Linked DNA regions of Macaca mulatta. Each later gene encodes a partner of the first gene's protein in a complex. Links are inferred from orthologs where the notes say so. Each region holds a gene or a part of one and is shown on either strand. Other genes may lie near its edges.

Evidence for each region.
Region 2: the proteins of BCCIP (region 1) and TENT5A are in contact, whole or in part, in a crystal structure (PDB 8EXE), measured with the Homo sapiens proteins. The link is inferred for Macaca mulatta from reciprocal best matches to the Homo sapiens genes BCCIP and TENT5A. Residues at the interface, in NP_510868.1 of Homo sapiens: Val57, Asn58, Ile59, Glu60, Phe61, Glu62, Ala63, Tyr64, Ser65, Leu66, Gln146, Val149, Leu150, Phe152, Cys153, Glu154, Lys155, Asn156, Cys157, Glu158, Lys159, Glu163, Lys167, Leu203, Ala204, Ala206, Thr225; in NP_060103.2 of Homo sapiens: Arg87, Gly88, Asp139, Glu151, Gln155, Lys158, Lys184, Glu185, Val188, Gln189, Lys190, Met191, Val192, Lys193, Val194, Cys195, Asn196, Asp199, Trp201, Asn213, Arg289, Lys295, Glu331, Arg334, Gln341, Asn342, His343.
Region 3: the proteins of BCCIP (region 1) and TENT5C are in contact, whole or in part, in a cryo-EM structure (PDB 8EQB), measured with the Homo sapiens proteins. The link is inferred for Macaca mulatta from reciprocal best matches to the Homo sapiens genes BCCIP and TENT5C. Residues at the interface, in NP_510868.1 of Homo sapiens: Val57, Asn58, Ile59, Glu60, Phe61, Glu62, Ala63, Tyr64, Ser65, Arg136, Gln146, Cys153, Lys155, Ala204, Gly205; in NP_060179.2 of Homo sapiens: Asp90, Asp92, Glu102, Gln106, Arg109, Lys135, Glu136, Val139, Gln140, Lys141, Leu142, Val143, Lys144, Val145, Cys146, Thr147, Asn164.

The regions. Positions count from the first base shown.
Region 1 is NC_133414.1:137,881,733-137,885,379, forward strand, and holds part of BCCIP (BRCA2 and CDKN1A-interacting protein), read left to right. Parts: intron 1-117; coding exon 118-192; intron 193-1,080; coding exon 1,081-1,161; intron 1,162-3,647. UniProt on the Homo sapiens protein: During interphase, required for microtubule organizing and anchoring activities. During mitosis, required for the organization and stabilization of the spindle pole.
Region 2 is NC_133409.1:104,076,709-104,080,822, forward strand, and holds the start of TENT5A (terminal nucleotidyltransferase 5A), read left to right. Parts: upstream 1-1,304; 5' UTR 1,305-1,591; coding exon 1,592-1,611; intron 1,612-1,791; coding exon 1,792-2,410; intron 2,411-3,538; coding exon 3,539-4,114.
Region 3 is NC_133406.1:122,654,781-122,658,427, reverse strand, and holds part of TENT5C (terminal nucleotidyltransferase 5C), read left to right. Parts: intron 1-3,211; 5' UTR 3,212-3,238; coding exon 3,239-3,647. UniProt on the Homo sapiens protein: Catalyzes the transfer of one adenosine molecule from an ATP to an mRNA poly(A) tail bearing a 3'-OH terminal group and enhances mRNA stability and gene expression.

The DNA.
Region 1 (3,647 bases):
AGAGTGTGAAGGTGCTTTGTATTCTCTACAGATGGCAATCTTGTCAATGTTTGCCTATTTTAAAGTCTAGATGTTTGTAGTTTTTCTGGTAACAACTATTTTGTGTGTTATTTGCAGGAAGTGAATATTGAATTTGAAGCTTATTCCCTATCAGATAATGATTATGACGGAATTAAGAAATTACTGCAGCAGGTATTGTCTTTTATTTATTATGCATAAATTTTCTCTTCTAAGAAAAATCGGGCTGGGTGCAGTGGTTCATGCCTATAATCTCAGCATTTTGGAAGGCCAAGGTGAGAGGATCACTTGAGCCCAGGAGTTTGAGACCAGCCTGGACAACATAATGAGAACCTGTCTCTACAAAAAAATAAAAAATTAGCCAACTGAGGTAGCACACACCTTTAGTCCTAACTCCTAAGGAGGCTGAGGCCAGAGGATTACTTGAGTCTAGGAGCTCAAGGCTGCAGTGAGCTATGAATGCACCACTGAGCTCCAGTCTGGGCAACAGAGCAAGCCTCTGTCTCTTAAAAAAAAAAAGATTCAGGTCATTCAATACAGGCTTTCTCAAATTCAAATTTGTAGAATTTCCATTTCTGTCCTCTCTACCTTGCTTGGAAGATAGAATTATTTCCTTTCATCTGCTAATTAGTTGAGCTATTTTTTTTTTTTTTAAATTCACAATTCTTATGTAACAGTCATATAACTGTGCTGTTTGGTGCTATAAAATTGATGCTTGCTGCTTCTCCTTATTCTTTTACTCATATAATATGACTCTGGTTCTTTAACCTTTATAGCCTCTACTGTCCTTTTCACCAAATTCTTTGGCCTTATGTTTATCCTCTCTTCTCCCTTTTTTCCTCCCCCTCCCCCATTACTTCTGTATTACCACTGACTGCTTTTCTGAAATTTCATAATCTTTAGCTTCTTTGACTCTCCTGGGCTTTTCTTTCCCTCTTGGGATTGCTTTTCTAGGTCATCTTCTTAAGTCACAGAAATTTCGTTATTTGTATTTGAATATAGGATTTGAAGTTATTAGAAATCATGCTTTGATCTTAATTTAAAATTTTTTCCTCCTTTTAGCTTTTTCTAAAGGCTCCTGTGAACACTGCAGAACTAACAGATCTCTTAATTCAACAGAACCATATTGGGAGTGTGATTAAGGTAAGCAGGACAATTGTGTTTATTCTGATTAAATTAGTTCTTTATTCTGTTCATGCTGGGCATCACCATGCTTGTAATCCTAGCACTTTGGGAAGCAAAGGTGGGAGAATTGCTTGAGGCCAGGAGTTCAAGACCATCCTGGGCAACATAGCAATACTCTGTCTCTACAAAAAATAACAAAAAATTAGCCGGGCATAGTGGCACCTGCCTATAGTCTTTTTACCCAGGTGGCTGAGGTAGGAGGATCTCTTCAGCCAAGGAGTTGAAGGCTGTGATGAGCTTTGATTGTGCCACTGCACTCTAGCCTGGCAACACAGCAAGACCCTATATCTGGGGTGGGTGGGGGAAGAGTTCTTATTCTGTTTAGCTCAAATTGGAAGCAGGACTACTGGAGGAAGGGAGACTGATCAGAAGTCATTGCAGAAATCCAAGCTTATTAAATGCAGTAGGCCAGGTGGTGGCAATGGAGAGGGAGAGAAGTGGGCTCATTTAGAATATATTTGGGAGATGAAATATGATGGGGTTTAGTCCCTGATTGGGTCTGAAAGTGAGAGGAAAAGGAGTCAAGGATGACTTCCAGGTTTCTAGCTTGAGCAAACAGGATAACAAACATGGAAGAAGGCCAGGTTAGGAGGGGGAATGTGAGTTTGGGTTTGTACATTTTGCGTTTGAGTTACCTGTGAGATACCGGGTAGCGGGTGGAGCCCTGGAGACTTGGGAGTTTGTCGTAAATGTTATTGAAGTCATAGAAGTGATTGAGATTGCGCAGGGAGGGAAGGGACAGACACCTTAGTAATACCAAGAATACTTGGATATCCGAGTATTGTAAGTGGCAGAGCCAGCAAAGGAGATTAAAAGGGATGACAGGAGAAGTACAAGAAACAACAGTGCAGTGATGTCATACATGGCAAGAAAGACAACATTTGAAGGAGGAGGGGATGGTCATCCTTATCAGATAGATGTTGTAGAGAGCTCAACAAAATAGGACTGGTTTGGACCCTGGCTCTGCTGCTTATCATCTGGTGGTTCTTTGGGTTGTCTGTTGTTTGTATAACAAACCACTTCATAGCTTAGTGTTGTAAAATAGCAACACTCATGTATTTGGCTCATGGATCTACAGTTTGGACAGAGCTCAGTGGGCACAAGTCATCTCTGCTCCTGCTCCATCATGTTAACTGGGGAGGCTCGACTAGGGGCTGGAGGATTCCCTTTCAAGATGGCTCACTCACATGACTGGCAAGTTAGCCCTAGCTGTCTGTTGTGAGCTTAGCTGGGACTCTGGACCAGGGGCCTTAGTTCTTGTCCATGTGGGCCTTGCCACATATTGGGTTGCTTCCAAGAGCAAGCAGCCCAAAAGAAGCAGGCAGAAGTGGTGATATAGTGCCATTTCCACCATTTGCTTAGTCAGTACAGATACAAATTTCTACCCAGGGGGAGGCCACATTGATTCCACCACTCCATGAGAAAAGTATCTAGGTCACTTTGTCAGAAGAGCATGTCCAAGAAGAGATCCACTGGGGCCATCTGCGAAAGATACAATCTGCCACAGTACCTTAATCTATTTCCATTTCTAGCTCTGAAAATGAGGATGATACTAGCACCTATCTTGTAGAGTGCATGGGTAAACAAAATGAGTTGCTGATTGCTTAGAACAGTGCCTGGCAACTGACAAGTGCTACATATGTGTAGCTGTCACTGTTGATGTCTTTTTCCTGTTCCCAGCACCTGTTCCCTAGCCTGTTGTGAAAAAGACAACAAAAGTTCCATTCAGTCTAATGTTCCACTCAAAGTACATCACCTTCAGAGCCAAAATTCTTGAAAAGTAATCTTAAGTCATGGTTTCTACTTCCTGTCCTCCTATTCATTCTTCAGACATTCTTATCTGACTTTTACACAACTAAAATTCTGACACTGAATGATAGGGTCACCAACATACTTGTTACTAAATGCAGTGTCCACTTTTCAAGGCTTCTGACAATATTAGTAACCTTATGGCACTCAATGTAAAGAAAATGAGAAATTAAACCTACAGGGGCTTCCTTTTATTAGGGCAATGGGAAAAAGCAGACCACCTGCCCTTTCATCAAATAAATGTGATTTCTAGCTGATTCGTGTCTTAGAAGACACTTAGAAGACCTAATGGATATGGAGAAGCAGCAGTTATTTTTATCCTTGAAAGAGGTTATCTAATGGCAGGATTCACCCTTTAAATGGATAATTACATCGATAGCTCTGCAGTTATAACTGGCTTCTTTGGCTTCTCCAGAGACACCTGAGGTGTCCTGAGGATAGAGACTTCTTGTTCTTAGTAAAGGGACTACCCACAGCATTCAGTGGAGCCAGTCCCTAGGATCATAGAACAAAGGGCAGGGGGGTTCTCTTTTATCCCTTCTCTCTTGCCCATGTGGTAGGTATAAGTGGCCCTCAGGCACTGCCCAGCTTCACTTATGGTCAAGATTGACAAGTGTTCTGGAAACTCATGAGTT
Region 2 (4,114 bases), on another chromosome or scaffold:
AGCTTGGGCGACTAGGCCGGGGCTGCCCCCGTTAGGAGGTGCGGGCTGTTTGTCCTCCCAGTCTGGGCGGGCAGGGCTGAGCACGGTTTGGGGAGTATTCTGTGACCCGGTCATTCTCCCCTCTGCCCCACCTCAGTCCCCAGCAGCGTCTAGGCGCTGGGAAAGCTGCTCTGGCATAGTTGATGGAGGCAGAGAGCTGCCGAAGAGAGGGCCACAGTTTCTAGCAAAGACAGCGGTGGGCGGCGCGAGTGAGCGTGGGGAGAATTAGCTCTGCCGAATTCACCGAAACTGGATGGGATAATTCATTTTATTCTTGAAACTCCTATTTTACATCTCGTGGGAAACCAAATCGTATTCCACTACACTATGATGCACTTAAAATGGCCAAACCTTAGTGGGACGCGAGGAACGCGCTTGGCTGCCAATTTTCTGTGCGAGAACTGAGAACTCGCAGCAAAGGCACCCGACACCTAGCGGCCCTTCCCCTGGACTCGGAGGCAGCACTCACTCCCGGGGCGCGCTGTCCGCGGGGCACTGGGCCCGCCCAGTCCTCGGCGATTGGTTGCTCGCCCGCGTCTGCTCCGTGACGCACCTTGGCCCCCGAGACACACCGGCCCCTTGGAGCCACTCGTGCGCAAGAGCCGCACACGCCCGAGGCCCGTGGTGCCGCCCCCGCGCCTTCTCCGGCTGGCCCGGAGCTCCCCGGCGTGCTTCCCGAGGTTTCGAGAATCGAAACCCAGTTATCAACAAGCCCTTCCCACTCACGCGCCGTGACTGATTTGCGTGCACGAGTGAACTCATGAGTCCACGCTTGGACCAGGTTTATCAATGGAGTAAATGGTCTAGACACCGAGGTTTAAAAGAGCAGTAGTGAGGAACCTCCGGAGGCCAACAGTGGGAATCTCATGAAGGGCTGTATCCGCGAGAATTTTGGGAAGTTTCTGCAGTTGCAGGATTTTAGTCGCGATCTGGTTTTGATGATCAGTTATGATTCCTGGGGCATTTTAAGTGTCTCCTCCTGGGGAAAATGAAAAGAGATTTGTGGGAGGGGGCGTACATAAATGTATGTATAAATATATGAATCTACCGGCGCGCACAGTATCGGCACATACAGCCCAGCGCCTCGCGCTCACCGGCCGTCGTCCAGCACCAGCTGCTGGGCTAGTCCGCTGCGTGCCCTGCGGGAGGGGGCGGGCAGGGGGCGGCGCCCTATGCAGATGAGGAGGGTGTGGCGAGCGTGCCGCTCCGGGCCCCGGAAGCGCAGAGAAGCCCAGTATAAAAAAAGTACTGAAGACATTTTCCCCGCACAACTGCTAAAGCTCCAGAGACACGAGCGTGTGTGGCAGCAAGAGCCGCCACCTTCAGGACCACCGCAGCTGGGGTGGCAGCGGCGCGGGAGGGGGCGCGGGGAGGGAGTGGTGAGCGCAGGCGGCAGGGGTCTGGGAAAGACGAAGTCGCTAGTCGCTGTCGGAGCGCACTCGCAGCTCCTGGAAGTGTTGCCGCCTCGCGGTTTCTCTCTCGCTCGCTTCGCTCCTAGAAGGGGCGGCCGCCTCCAGGTGACACAGACGGGACTCTCGCTTGCGCTTTCCAGATGCATCAGAGATATTTTTGGTGCGGGGCTGCTCTGCGTGGGGCGGTGCGCGGCTGGGGACTGTAAGGGCCGGGGGAGGTAGAGTCTCCGAGGAGGCCTGGGGCCAGGGAACTATCGGGGGAGGGGGCGCTCTTTTCCTGGTTGGCCTCTGCCCTCCGCCGCCGCGCGTCCTCACCGCGCTCCTTTCCCTTTCCTTTTAGGACTGACCAGGGCCAAGTGGCGCTCGGCGGGCACTACATGGCGGAGGGCGAAGGGTACTTTGCCATGGCCGAGGACGAGCTGGCCTGCGGCCCCTACATCCCCCTAGGCGGCGACTTCGGCGGCGGCGACTTCGGCGGCGGCGACTTCGGCGGCGGCGACTTCGGCGGCGGCGACTTCGGCGGCGGCGACTTCGGCGGCGGCGGCAGCTTCGGTGGGCACTGCTTGGACTATTGCGAAAGCCCCACGGCGCACTGCAATGTGCTGAACTGGGAGCAAGTGCAGCGGCTGGACGGCATCCTGAGCGAGACCATTCCGATCCACGGGCGCGGCAACTTCCCCACGCTCGAGCTGCAGCCGAGCCTGATCGTGAAGGTGGTGCGGCGGCGCCTGGCCGAGAAGCGCATCGGCGTCCGCGACGTGCGCCTCAACGGCTCGGCCGCCAGCCACGTCCTGCACCAGGACAGCGGCCTGGGCTACAAGGACCTGGACCTCATCTTCTGCGCCGACCTGCGCGGGGAAGGGGAGTTTCAGACTGTGAAAGACGTCGTGCTGGACTGCCTGTTGGACTTCTTACCCGAGGGGGTGAACAAAGAGAAGATCACACCACTCACGCTCAAGGTAACACCACCCGAGATGCACTTGGGCCCTGACCCAGACTGGACCGGGTGTTATGGGGAGCGGGCAGAGGGGCGTCGGTTACATGCCATGAATCTGTGGCCATCACGAGTTTGGGCGCGCGTATTTCTTTGATTTTTGATTTTTAAAATGAGTAAACTGACGTGCGTGGACGGTGTTGTGTGTTTCCGTTTACTTGATGCTTTGGCGCTGCAACTCTTCTCCCAGGTCTCCCCTGCCCTCCCTTCTCTTCTTTCTCCTTATATTTTAACTCTTGGCTTTCCCTGTTGGAGTCTTGTCCAGAGTAGATTCTGATACTTGGCAGAATGAAATAATGTAAATAATTTTTTGAGACATTGTATGATCTAGTCTTTGGGAAAATGACAGCCTGAAGCAGAAGTGAGTCAATGAGTTTTTTCTTGTACTGGAAAAGGTGAATAGATTTCACAGCGGCATTCAGTTGACTCCGTGTTAAAGGTCTGTCTGGTGGTTCTCCGTGCTGGTTCATATGTTAAGGGTATAGTGGCACCCCCTCCCTACCCTCCACTTTAGTTCAAGACGGGTTTTTTATGATTAGTTAAAATTGTCTGAGGTGGCAGGGTCCCAGAATGTCATAATTTAGTTTATATATTTGATTGTAACTGCAGAGTGCCCCTGGAGGGACACAAGATACTGATAACATTGATTGCCGCAGGCGGAGAGGAGAGGAATTGGGTGGCTTGGAACAAGGGTGAGGCTGACTAACCTACCGCTGAATGCCCTTCCGAGTCTTTTGAATGTTGTTTGGATCTGTGTGAATATTGTGCCTATTAGACCATTTTCAAAAAGTAACACTTAAAAAGTCAGACATGACAACAGAACCTCTTACTACTGTGTTACGTCTGCCAAAAGCCTCAAACTATTACCTCTAGTCCCTTTCCCAGACAGTAAAACTACTCGTTAAAAGTATTTTTTTTTTTTTCTATTTTCAGAAGAACGTTTAAGCCTGTAGGTAGTGTTTGGCTGAAACTTGACAAAACAAAAGGGAAAGAGCAAAATAATTCTCAGCTGTGAAGAGGATGTATTTATTTATTTATTATTTATTTATTATTTTCTAGGTTTGCTCATTTTGTTTTATCTTTTAAATTGTAGGAAGCTTATGTGCAGAAAATGGTTAAAGTGTGCAATGACTCTGACCGATGGAGTCTTATATCCCTGTCAAACAACAGTGGCAAAAATGTGGAACTGAAATTTGTGGATTCCCTCCGGAGGCAGTTTGAATTCAGTGTAGATTCTTTTCAAATCAAATTAGACTCTCTTCTGCTCTTTTACGAATGTTCAGAGAACCCAATGACTGAGACATTTCACCCTACAATAATTGGGGAGAGCGTCTATGGCGATTTCCAGGAAGCCTTTGATCACCTTTGTAACAAGATAATTGCCACCAGGAACCCAGAGGAAATCCGAGGGGGAGGCCTACTTAAGTACTGCAACCTCTTGGTGAGGGGCTTTAGGCCCGCCTCTGATGAGATCAAGACCCTTCAGAGGTATATGTGTTCCAGGTTTTTCATCGACTTCTCAGACATTGGAGAGCAGCAGAGAAAACTGGAGTCCTATTTGCAGAACCACTTTGTGGGATTGGAAGACCGCAAGTATGAATATCTCATGACCCTTCATGGAGTGGTGAATGAGAGCACGGTGTGCCTGATGGGACATGAAAGAAGACAG
Region 3 (3,647 bases), on another chromosome or scaffold:
ACTTATAAAAAAAAAAAAAAAAAACTACCCACTGTGTGTAAGTATATATAAACGCATTTTCCCCTCAGTACTCTTAGAATTTCATGCTTTTACATTCAGTCTTTGATCTGTCCAATCTCGATCTTAGTTTGGCATGAAATAGGGAGCCCCTTTTATTTTTTTCTTTTTGATAATTTAGATAACCATCCAGATGTTTTTCTTCACTTTACTATTCTAAAATGCCTCCTTTAATTATATACTAAATCCCTTTACATATCTGATTTTATTTCTAGATTTAAAAAATTTTGTTCCATTGATTTGTCTTTTTGGGCCAATAACATGCCATTTCAATTATTGTGGTTTTGTGATATCTGTTACAGGCTAGTATGTATCATTCCTATTTTTCACAATGTTTTCTGGCTATTTCTGCCTCTCCTACCATATGAACCTTACAAATTCTGTCTAAAACAAATTCTAACTTTGAGTCTACTAGAAGTTCACATACTTTAAAATATATGAAAATTCTCAACCTGGTGTACTTCCCCCCACTAAAAAAAAAGGCTCATAGCTTCCAGACTATCACCAGTCTCAGATGTCCCTCCTCTAATGTTCAGAACCACGGTTCTAGCATAGGCGTAGTCCTGACTTTAATCCTACAAGTCGTCTTTTTGAAGAACTCCTTAAAAAAAGACTTGAGTCAGAATGTATTCCTATAGTTATTCTCCTCTGTAACATTATTGAGGTTCTGGCTGGAGATTTAAAAAAAAAATTGTTGCTTGTATCTCAAGTACTGATTGCATTACAGCCTCTGGTTGCCGTGTGACTTCTCATGCCTGTGTCATAAAGATGAGCCTTGAAAGCATAACAGGTGATTCACAGTAGCAAGTGAGTTGTATTTCTTTAGGTAGACCAACGTACCTGAAATCTATAAAACCCATGCCACCAAATCATAGTCTAGCTGTGGTCACAGTAAAGCCAGTGCCATAACTTTCTGTAATTATTTGAACTTAATTGTGTAGCTCAGGGTTCTCCATCCCCCAGACCACGGGGCAGTACCAGTCCGTGGCCTGTTAGGAACTGGGCAGCACAGCAGGAGATGAGTGGCAGGTGAGCGAGCATTACCACCGCAGTTCTGCCTCCTGTCAGATCAGCAGCACATTAGATGCTCATAGGAGTGTGAACCCTAGTATGAACTGAGCATGTGAGGGATCTACGTTGTGCCCTCCTTATGAAACTCTAATGCCTGATGATCTGAGGGTGAAACAGGAACAGGTTCATGCTGCAACTCTCAACCCCCACTTCCACGTCCGTGGAAAAGTTGTCTTCCACAAAACTGGTCCCTGATACGAAAAAGGCTGGGGACCACTGGTGTGGCACATACAGTGGACACAAATGTACTGTGTGCTAATCATGGGAGACCACAAAGAACTGCTAAGTGTTTAAAGGATATGGCAAAAAGAGAACTCTACTATCCCAAATCTGCCTTGAAACCAAATGCCAGTCACATTATTCATCACAGATTTTGCTTGGGATCCATAACCTACGAGTGCTTTGTAAGATGATCTAGATAGCCTAGGACTTTTTAATGCTGTTCAGAGACACTTTTGTCTTCCCCTCCACGAGTACTCTGTAGCAAGCAATAGAGCACTCATCCCCAGAGAGGTCCTGCAGATCCTGCTGTGATCACATACTCAGCCCACTGCTTTCTGCCTCTTGGCCCCAACCAAGAGCTCATGTTCTCTTTCTGTTGGCTTGTGTCCCCTCTCTATAAGTGAACTCTGTGGCCTTCCTCTTCACCCCAACCAGGGACACCCTTTCTTCTACTTTTATATTACATTTAATTTCTACTACTAGAGTTGTCTACACCACACACTGCCTCGTATTGATACCTCATATTTTCACTACCTTCTTGATGGGAGAGCCTGAAGAGCTCATCTTCATGTACCTAGCAATGCCCTGACAACCAAGTAACAATCATAGGGGATCCCTGGCACCGGTGCAAGGCCAGAAATCCATGTTGGAACCCTAGGAGAATGCATGCCGACGTGTGTTCAGACACAGCAGCTTCCAAACAATGAAACTGCAGAAGTCATTGGGATGGGTTTTGTGTGTGTCTAGCAAGTCAGAAAGGCGGAGGGGGTGGGAAAACTGTTCACAGTGAAATCTGAGGACAGCACCTTGACTCTTTGTTTTGGGTTTTACATCCATCTAGCAAATATTCGACTCGTGGCTCTACAGGCACCTTGACATTTTAATATATGAGTATTTGCTTTTATATATTAGGATTTCCAGGGATCCATTGTGTTTTATTTTTTGATAAGTATAACGTAGCTGAAAATTACTTGGGAAACTTTGTGGTCCTAGCAGATGAAGTGGTGGTTTTCTCCTAGTACTCAGTGCCAACTTTATTCTCCTCGGGTAGCTTTAACGTACTATTTTTTTTTCCCAAGTCCACTTAAAGGTACACACTGCCCTGAGGAAGTTGGCCATGTCCTGTGTCGGGCATCCATCCTAGGAAGAGTGGTTCCACCACATAGGTGACCTAACCTTTTGTTGACTAGAAATTTCGTCGTAAAAACAACTCCTTGCTTCTACCCTAGATGACAAGTACTTGTTAGGACAGACTTCTCCTGTCATGAGAATTTTGCTAAAGGAACATGCTTTATTCCAGTAGAAGGGGTTGGACTCCCACTTATTGGTGAGATGGTAGCCCAAAGTTGAGAATTCATCTACTTGTGGAGTGAAGGAAGTCATGTGTGTGTGTGTGTGTGTGTGTGTGTGTATTGTATATTCTGTGTGTGAGTGTTGTAGCCTAGGTGTCAAACAGGTCAAGATGTGGTTAGGGAGCCAGAAAGCTGGAGAAGTAACTAATTCTTCTGCGGTCCTATACGGTTTGCTAACATTCTGTTTTCAGCACATTCGAAACACACTCTGTCTCAGCACACTCCACCCTCACCCAGAAAAAACAAGCAAAACAACACAACCCCAAACAAAACAAAACTATGAAGTAATCTAAAGTAATATGGAATGAGTTTGTGTGTTTTTGTCCTTCTCTGCGGAGTCACTGTTTTTTACATATTTAACTCATTGAGTCCTCACAGCAACACTGAGCAGTAAGTGCTATTTATCACCATTTTATAGGAAGATGTTCAGAGATTAAATAATGAGTTCCTTGAGCTGCTTTGCCATGTAGAAGCGAATCCTAACTCTGTTTCTCACCCCTCACTTTCAGTTTCCCCAGCCAGAACATCCCCCGAAGATGGCAGAGGAGAGCAGCTGTACCAGGGACTGCATGTCCTTCAGCGTGCTCAACTGGGATCAGGTTAGCCGGCTGCACGAGGTCCTGACTGAGGTTGTACCTATCCACGGACGAGGCAACTTTCCAACCTTGGAGATAACTCTGAAGGACATCGTCCAGACCGTCCGCAGTCGGCTGGAAGAGGCAGGCATCAAAGTGCAGGACGTCCGGCTGAATGGCTCTGCAGCTGGCCACGTTTTGGTCAAAGACAATGGCTTGGGCTGCAAAGACCTGGACCTAATCTTCCATGTGGCTCTTCCAACAGAGGCAGAATTTCAGCTGGTTAGAGATGTGGTTCTGTGTTCCCTTCTGAACTTCCTGCCAGAGGGTGTGAACAAGCTCAAAATCAGTCCAGTCACTCTGAAGGAGG